2 linked regions of the Coturnix japonica genome follow. The protein of the gene in region 1 interacts with the protein of each later gene in a pairwise test. Links are inferred from orthologs where the notes say so. Each region holds a gene or a part of one and is shown on either strand. Other genes may lie near its edges.

The links. The genes of interacting proteins can lie anywhere in the genome.
Region 2: the proteins of TXLNB (region 1) and LURAP1 interact in binary tests that used the Homo sapiens proteins (3 or more experiments, as listed by UniProt). The two-hybrid records come from large-scale screens. The link is inferred for Coturnix japonica from reciprocal best matches to the Homo sapiens genes TXLNB and LURAP1.

The regions. Positions count from the first base shown.
Region 1 is NC_029518.1:48,828,082-48,831,593, reverse strand, and holds part of TXLNB (beta-taxilin), read right to left. Parts: intron 2,373-3,512; 5' UTR 2,279-2,372; intron 610-2,278; 5' UTR 596-609; coding exon 178-595; intron 1-177. UniProt on the Homo sapiens protein: Promotes motor nerve regeneration. May be involved in intracellular vesicle traffic.
Region 2 is NC_029523.1:19,084,911-19,089,198, reverse strand, and holds the start of LURAP1 (leucine rich adaptor protein 1), read right to left. Parts: upstream 2,806-4,288; 5' UTR 2,751-2,805; coding exon 2,556-2,750; intron 71-2,555; coding exon 1-70. Other genes in the region: POMGNT1 (protein O-linked-mannose beta-1,2-N-acetylglucosaminyltransferase 1), read left to right, coding at 3,719-3,829. UniProt on the Homo sapiens protein: Acts as an activator of the canonical NF-kappa-B pathway and drive the production of pro-inflammatory cytokines. Promotes the antigen (Ag)-presenting and priming function of dendritic cells via the canonical NF-kappa-B pathway.

The DNA of each region.
Region 1 (3,512 bases):
GCCCACTGTATCTTTTAGGTAACTGCTGACAATTTTTATCAAATAAAGTTATGACAGCTGCCGTGGTTTTCAGTGGTCCCTATCAGCCATAGCAAAGACTTAAAAAAGGAAAAAGTGAAGCCCAGGGAGGTTTTACTACTGTTAGCAGAATAGCTATGTAAGTACACAAGCACTTGCCTAGTCCTTTCAGGATTTTCTTCTCCAGCTTTTGTTCCTTGCTAGTGCTGGGCTCCTTTGCTCTTGAAGCATCTCCAGGGGCTGGTTTGTCTTTCTCACTTTCTTCATTTGCATCCTCATACTCTGCATCCTCCATATTGCCCACATCTCCCTTCTCCAGCTTGTCAGTTCCTGCTGTAGTGCCATCCTTCTCCATCAGACTTGCTGCAGACCCATAGGTTTTAATAATGTCCTCCAGTTGCCGGCTCAGCTCCTCTGAGATGTCACATGTGGCTGCTTCAGTCTGGGCACTGGTTTGGTCTGTGGGGGGCAGGGGCTGTGAGCTGGGGACAGGTTCCTCCTTGCTTTGTCCCTGAATGTCTTGCCTAGGTGAAGTGGAAACCTGCTGCTGCTTCTCGGTGAACTGGTCATTCTCCATGCTTGGTGCAGTACCTGACAGCAAAACAACATAGAGTTAATTTAAAAGCAGAGAAATCAGTTTTCTCAGTGATCACAAGGCTTGGCCAGGATGTGAGTGATCTGGTGTGGGATTTGGTGTGGCAGGTCATCCTTTCACTTTGGCTTGATGAATACAACACACTGAAACAAACCAACGAGGTGATTTACCTGTTGGGAGAAAAGTGAATTGTACATCTGCCAAGAGGAAGATAACACTGACAAAGCTTGACCTCTTGTTACTGTTGCAAGTGATAAAGCACAAAAGGGCACCAGAGCCATCCATACTACTTCCTTCTCTGAACACAATTTGCCACTTGCTTGTTTTTCTTGATTAGTTTCACCTGCAATACTGGCTATTGACACAGGCAGCTTTGCTTCAGATTTGCATCACTTTCACTTCCTGTTTCTCACCCATCAGCACATCTTAAGTCAATAATAAGGAAAATGAAGTTTTTAGAAGAAGCTAGAGAACTGAGAATTATGCTCTTGGAGTGCCCAGCATGATGCTTGATATGTGAATGGCCTTGCCTGGCAGTGACATAGTAACAGCAACAAACAGTTCATAATAAGATAAACAACTACAAACCACCTTTCTCTTGTACTTGCAGTGCACTGCTGACAGCTTGTTTGATAAAGTACAAAGCGCTGAATAAATCAGAGCATTGTAAAATCAACCAGGTGTAACACAAATTGATATTCAATGCTAGTATCTGGTTTGAATGTTGCATAATTGGCTCCCCAACTTGCAGTGGAGACTTTGCATTTTTCCAGACACATCCAACCCACAGCCCACAGGCTGCATGCAGCCCGGCACAGCTGGCACTGTGGCCTCCCCCTGCCCCATGCCATCATGGCAGCAGCCCGGCCCCTCAGCACCAACCAAACATGGGAGTGCTATCAGCCCCATGGAGGCACAGGGCAGTGCCAGCTCACAGTGCTGGCAGATACGTTGATGGATTTTGATACGTTGGCTAGACACAGTCCTGTGAACAGAGAAAAATACGCAGTGCTTTTTCTTTTGATAAAGTACAGATGAAGCAAACATGTGGAATTGGCACATTCATCGACACTTGCTGAATGCTGAGCAGTGAGGTGGTGGATGATGTGTTTCAACATTCCTTCTTGTAATTATATGATTCATAATAATGTCAGCCAGGTACTTAGTGGGGACAAGGAACAGGAAGGATATTGCTTTGTCAGATCTAAGGAAGCTGCTTTCTTATTTTTGAAAAGACAACTTGTTTTGAAAATATGGAGCTAAATGAGAAGCATTTTGTTTCCTGTTCAGTTGGCTGTAACATATATTTGCTATGGTGTCTAAGCTTCTGCAGCTTTCAGAGACATAAACAAACTTGGCCAAAGGCAGTGTGTGATAACAGAGTTGTAGTTCATTGTTATACATGACATGGTGTTTGTTGTTAAAATCTCCCCAGTCAAAGTGGTTCTCAGTACTGCAGTAACTGTCACTACTAAGGCTAATACTTTTCAAGATTTGATTGGTGAGATATCTGATCAGACTTATGGATATGGTACTCAAATATTATGTTTCATCATCTCTAAAGCAATTCACTGTAAGACTATATTTGAAAGCTTTGAGTGTGGCTCAAGATGTGCCTAAAAGCTGGTATCTACAGAACCATGGCCCCCTCCAAACACAACTCACCAACAGCAATGACTTGGAAAGACAGCTGGATGCAGTCTCATGGACCCCATCAGGCAGATGCATCTGATTCTTTCCTTTCTACATTTGGCACAGTCTGAAAAGTGATGGTAAACTTATATTGGTCAGATTTGGTGTCCTACTGACTTCAGTTTATCTTGAAAGATTAGGCCTTACATGTACAATTTAGGTAAGCAATTTCAGGTTAGGCAGACGTTTGTGATCTTGTTTTGACTAGCATTAATTGACAGCCAATTAATACCACTTCAGTAATATTACTGCAAATGCTAAGCTAGAAGCTCTGCAAAATATGTTTTTGTTTCTGACATGTTCAGGCTAGTATTTACAATTGTATTCATTAATTTGAGGTAATTGGCAATTGGCAATCAATCAGCTAGAAAATCCAGGATCATCAGCTCTTGTTTAGATAGGAAAAAAATGTTGTGAAATATATCCCCAATTTAAGCCATGTTGTTTTGTAATATGTTCAACACAGAAGGATAATCAGATCACAAATGCTTCACTCTCAAACACGAGTTTCTCTTCTTCCTACCTCCCCTTCTCTGTAAGAAGGCACATGTTGATGCTCCTTCTATCAGGACTCGTAGTGAACCCCTGAAGTCTTGTTGAAGACATGAAGTGGGATGGCTGTGTCCTATGTCAGTTCTTCTCCACTAAGAGCTCTTGTGAAGAGCACTGGAAGCCAGAACCTGGCCCTGCTTTCCCTTGGGAGCTGCTTTTCAGCTGTGGGCATACCAGTAGCCCCCTCGATCACAGCAAGGTCCCAGACGCACCTATGCGCATCTTCAGCCTCTATTCGCTTTGTCCCAGACCTGAATGCATCAGTAGGGCATCCCTGCTTGCCTATGGACCTGCCCTATCACTGCGAAAGTGCTGGTGGGTTTGCAATCTGTATCTATCTCTGAACTCCCCACATACCCAGCCCTGACCCTAACCCATATCATGGCTCCTTGCGGTGAAGTCCCTACTTCCGTCAGCCATGTCATCATGCTGGCTCATGGCTCTCTTCCAAGTCTTAACAGCATCACTCATGAAGCATCACTGTCTGGCTAAGGTTCTTCTCCTAAGTGAATCACTAAGACTGCCTACAAACACAGTAGGTTCTAAATCAGCAGCAATGATTGAGTTATAAACAGTGTTTCTCAGTTAGAAGTGAAACACGTGGGTGAACTGAAGAGAAACTGAATGTTTTGAAAACAAACAAAACAAAAGTTGA
Region 2 (4,288 bases), on another chromosome or scaffold:
CCGCCTCGATGCCCTCGTTGACTGCCACCAGCTGCTGCAGGATCTTCACGTCCACTGCGCGCAGGTATGCCTGGTGGGGAGACAGAAAGCGTGGCTCAGCGAGATGGATGTGCTGTGCCTTCCATCCCAGGAGAACCCCAAGTCTCAGCTGGATAAAGAAAGGGTAAGGCGGGGACATGGGGACGTGCTGCCCACCTCCAGCTCCAGGTTCCCACTGGGAACAACGTGTCCCCTTCCTTCCCCTTCCCCTTCAGTCCTATCTGAGACTTGCAGGCAACACCATCAGGGACATACAGCATTCACACAGCCATCCCCAACTACAGCCACCCCCACAGGAACAGGGACAAGGGAATAGATGCAGGCACTGGGTCCAGATCTGAGCCCAGACATACTCCCAGACCCTGGTGGCACTGAGCAGGGATGCAGTAGGACAACCCCCAGAGTAAGGTCCAGTCCCACCTCTGTATTGTGAGCACTTCCCAAGTGATTCCAGATCTCCTCCATGCATTCAGAGACCATAGGACAATGGTCCTTTCCCCCATAGAACAGAAACATCATGGAAGTCTTTGAAGCCCAAGACCCCAGTCACACCCAAAGCTCCCAGCTAGAAGGTGAGAAAAAAACAGAGGTGGCACAAAGTGCCCGTCCTGCTTGAGCCCATCCTGGAGCAATCCTGGACAGGGGCTGGAGTCCCCATCGCCACTCCCTCCCTGCACAGCCAGTTCCTGCCCTGCAAGGCCGGGAGAAGCTCTCTGCAGAACCGCAGCTGCTGCACAAACATCTGTTTTCCTAATGGAAAGCTCAGCGTGCCAAGACATTCCTGTCTGTATGATGCTCGCCGCTGAAAGCCACTGGATTTCCCCTGCACAGGAGGAAAATATTTCACCAGTAAAGGGAACAAAAGGGCAGTGGGAGAAGGGAGAAAAAAAACACACAGTGGGACAGGTACAGGTGAGGGGAGATGAGGGGGCAGCCCATCGGCTGCTGTGGGCACCATATCTCCAAACACAACCCAAGCTGCATGCAGCACTCGTGCTTTGGGAGCTCACAGAACGCAGCTCTGAGCATCACTCCAGCCAAGCCCAATGGGAAATGGCAGCATCCCCTCAACAGGTCTCCGAGGAACCCCGTCTGCATCTCACAGCAGGCACCAGGACAAGGCCACTGGGAGGAGGATGGAGCATGGGAAAGTTCTGTCAAGGTCTTGGCACGGGACGCCTCTTGAGTCAGAGGGTACAGAGAAAATGGGCAGATACTTGCAGGGATCTGAAAACAAACCTCCCTGACCCTCCTCAAAGCCACCAGGCTGGACTGAAAAAAAAAAAAAAAAAGATGGGAGAGCTGCTGACAGCCCAGATTGGGGCAGCAGCCAGCTCTGAGCTGCAGAAACTTCCTTTCTAGGCAAGCTATTTCACAAACTGCTCCAGCAGGCTTCTCCACACGTTCCAATGGAGCACTGGCCCTGGCACGGAGGGAGTCTGGGACCTCCTGACACTGTCTCCAGGCCCTGAGCAGTGCCATTTTTCCCCAGCACATGGAGTGGTGCTGCCAGAGGGTAGGGAAGGAGCAAGGTTCCAGATTCAGATGTTAGGGGCTGGGTGCTGATGGGAACACACTACCTGCTTTTAGTTCCCATTGCTGGAAAGTGTCATTTGCACATCTCCTCCCCACAAAGTATCTTTCCCAGAGAGACCCACCAGGGCTCCCTGTTCTCAGGGCACCACATTATGCCTCAGTTTCCCTGTTCCATCCCATCCTCCCAGCACTGCAGTCTCCTATCTCTGCTCAGCACCCATTGGCACCTTTTTTCCCTTGGAGACTGCCAGTTTTGGAATAACGGGGTGAAAAGATGAGCTAAAGTGTCAGGGGACAAAGCTGGAGTCGAGATTTTCACCTTCACAACAACTCTGCCCATCTCCTTCATCCCCCAAGGGCACTAAAGGCTCTTTGCCCTGCACGGGGGCAGAATCCACTCCCCCGCCCCATTCATGCTTCCCTCCTTCCCGCAGAGAGGAATTTGCCCCCAGGGACACAATATCCTCCCTCGCTCAGGGAAAGCGAGTGGGAACGCGCTGTCCCCTCCCCGTGCCGCCCACGCGGGGCGAAGCGCCGTTGCATTAATGGGGTTGCGCGGAGCCGGGTGCGGTGCCGTGCCACATTTCGGGTCCTAATGGCATTTTAACCCCAATGTTACATCGGTCACAGTTCAAAGTCAGGGCCCAAAGGTGCGGGGCAGGCGGCCTTCCTCCTCCTCTCCCTTCCTCCTCCTCCCAGCAGCCCGAGCTCCGCACCTTCCTTCCGCGGTCAGAGTGCGGGATGGAGGCGACACGGGGACAGCACACGGCCAAGGACGGGCCCCCACCCCGCAGCCGCAGTGAGGCGGTTTCCCTATGGAAACGCCGCGTTCGGTGCCCGCGCGTGGGAGAGGAGAGAGGAGAGAGGAGAGAGGAGAGAGGAGAGAGGAGAGGAGCAACCCGCGGCTCCCGGGGGCGAGCGGCGATGCGGAGATCCGGAGAGCCCCGGGACGGCCCCGTACCCCCACCCCCGGCACTCACCAGCTCCAAGCGGAGCGCACGGAGGCGATCGGCGAGCGGCGGGCGGGCACCGCGAACCGGAGCCGGCAGCGGGGACGGCGGGGAGGGGGCGGGCTCGGAGCGGAGCCCCCTTAACAGCCCGGCGGGGGGGCGGCGGCCCACCTTGCCCAGCAGCTCCCGCAGGTCCGCGGGCAGCGCATCCCCACCGCCCTCCATGCGGGTGGGGCGGCGGCACCGCGCGGGAGGAGGCGGCGGAGCTGTCACCACGGACACGCCCCCTGCGCTTTAACCACGCCCCCTGCGCTCTGGCCACGCCACCTCCCCCGGTGGCGCAGTGGTAGGAATGCCGCCTTGCAACACTGGAGTCCGGGTTCGAATCCCCCCTGTGGCACAAGTCTAGAAGTGCCGCTCTGCTACACAGAGGCTCGAATCCCGGGGGTTGGACTCGATGATCTCTAAGGTCCCTTCCAACCCGCACCAGACTGTGATACTATGAGACTATGAGACTATGAGACTGTGATACCTCCTCCCGGCCCCGCCCCCTGCCCACGTACCAGCGGAGTCCTCCAGGCAGCGCAGAGCGCCGTCAGGTGGGCGGGGTTAAAGGAATTCACGCCCCCTCGCGTCTCTGCGGCGCCGGAAGCGGCGCGGCCCCGCTGCTGCTGAGGGGCTGCGGCGGCGCCCGGCCGGGCTGGGCCCTGCCCCGCTCCGCTCACCGCCCGCCGGCCTCACTGTGAGTAGCGCGGTCGGAGCCACGCTGAGCTCTGTGTCCGCCCCGACGTCCTCCCCGTGTGTCCCCCCGTGTCCCCCGTTCCTTCGGCCTCCTCTTCCCTCTGGCTGTGTGGGGGAGGCCCGGCCTTACCGCAGGGCCACGTCCCGGCCCCAGTGTCCCGCTATGTACCTGTGGGCTTTGCAGCAGCACGGTCCTTTCTGGGCCTTGTCCTCCTTATGGGGTCTTCCAGCACAGCCTCGTGTCCCTGTGGGGCTGGTGGGGAGGGTTTGCTCACTCTTCAGTTTCATGCAGCTTTCGTGTTGTGTCCTCGTTCACAGCCACCCCTGGTGACACGCTCTGGCTGTGCTCTACACCTCGCCTTGTATCCACCCCATCTGGACAGGGTGCCCCGATGGACACACAAGAGGAGCTGAGCGCATCCTGACCCTCACCCCATGCAGCCCTTGTGACTATGGACGAGTGGAAGCACAACCCCATCATCAAGCCCCACAAGAAGAGGAGCTGGTACCTGGCCTGGAAGTACAAGCTGATGAACCAGCGGGCGCTGAGGAAGCTGTGCCAGGTGATTCATTCGCCAGCCTGGGGTGGATTAGAGAGGATAATCTGGGGTTTACGAGCTTATGGAGCAGATGTGGGGGTGGAGGTGGGTCTGCTTGGAGTCCTATGTGACCTAATATGTCGGGGATGTATAACATGTCCCTAGAAGAGCCATCTCACTAGCTTTGTGCTTGTGTGTGGAGTATTCTGCCATATCTACCAGCTCCTTCTATTTGCAAATGGACTGGTTATGACTGGAGATACACTTATGCAGGCTTTCCTGGGAGGCTTTCAGATGAAAGTATGGCCGTGCTATGTGCATCAGGACTCTGCCTGCAGTTAGGGACCATCCATGGCAAATATGATTTGCAAACCAAGCCTGGTGTAAGGCACAGTAGGTGCTCAGAGAAAATAGGCTGAGGAGTGGGATCTTGTGCCCCAGAGGCAGCTGGTGTCTGGGGGAGCTCCAGACCTGCTTGACTGT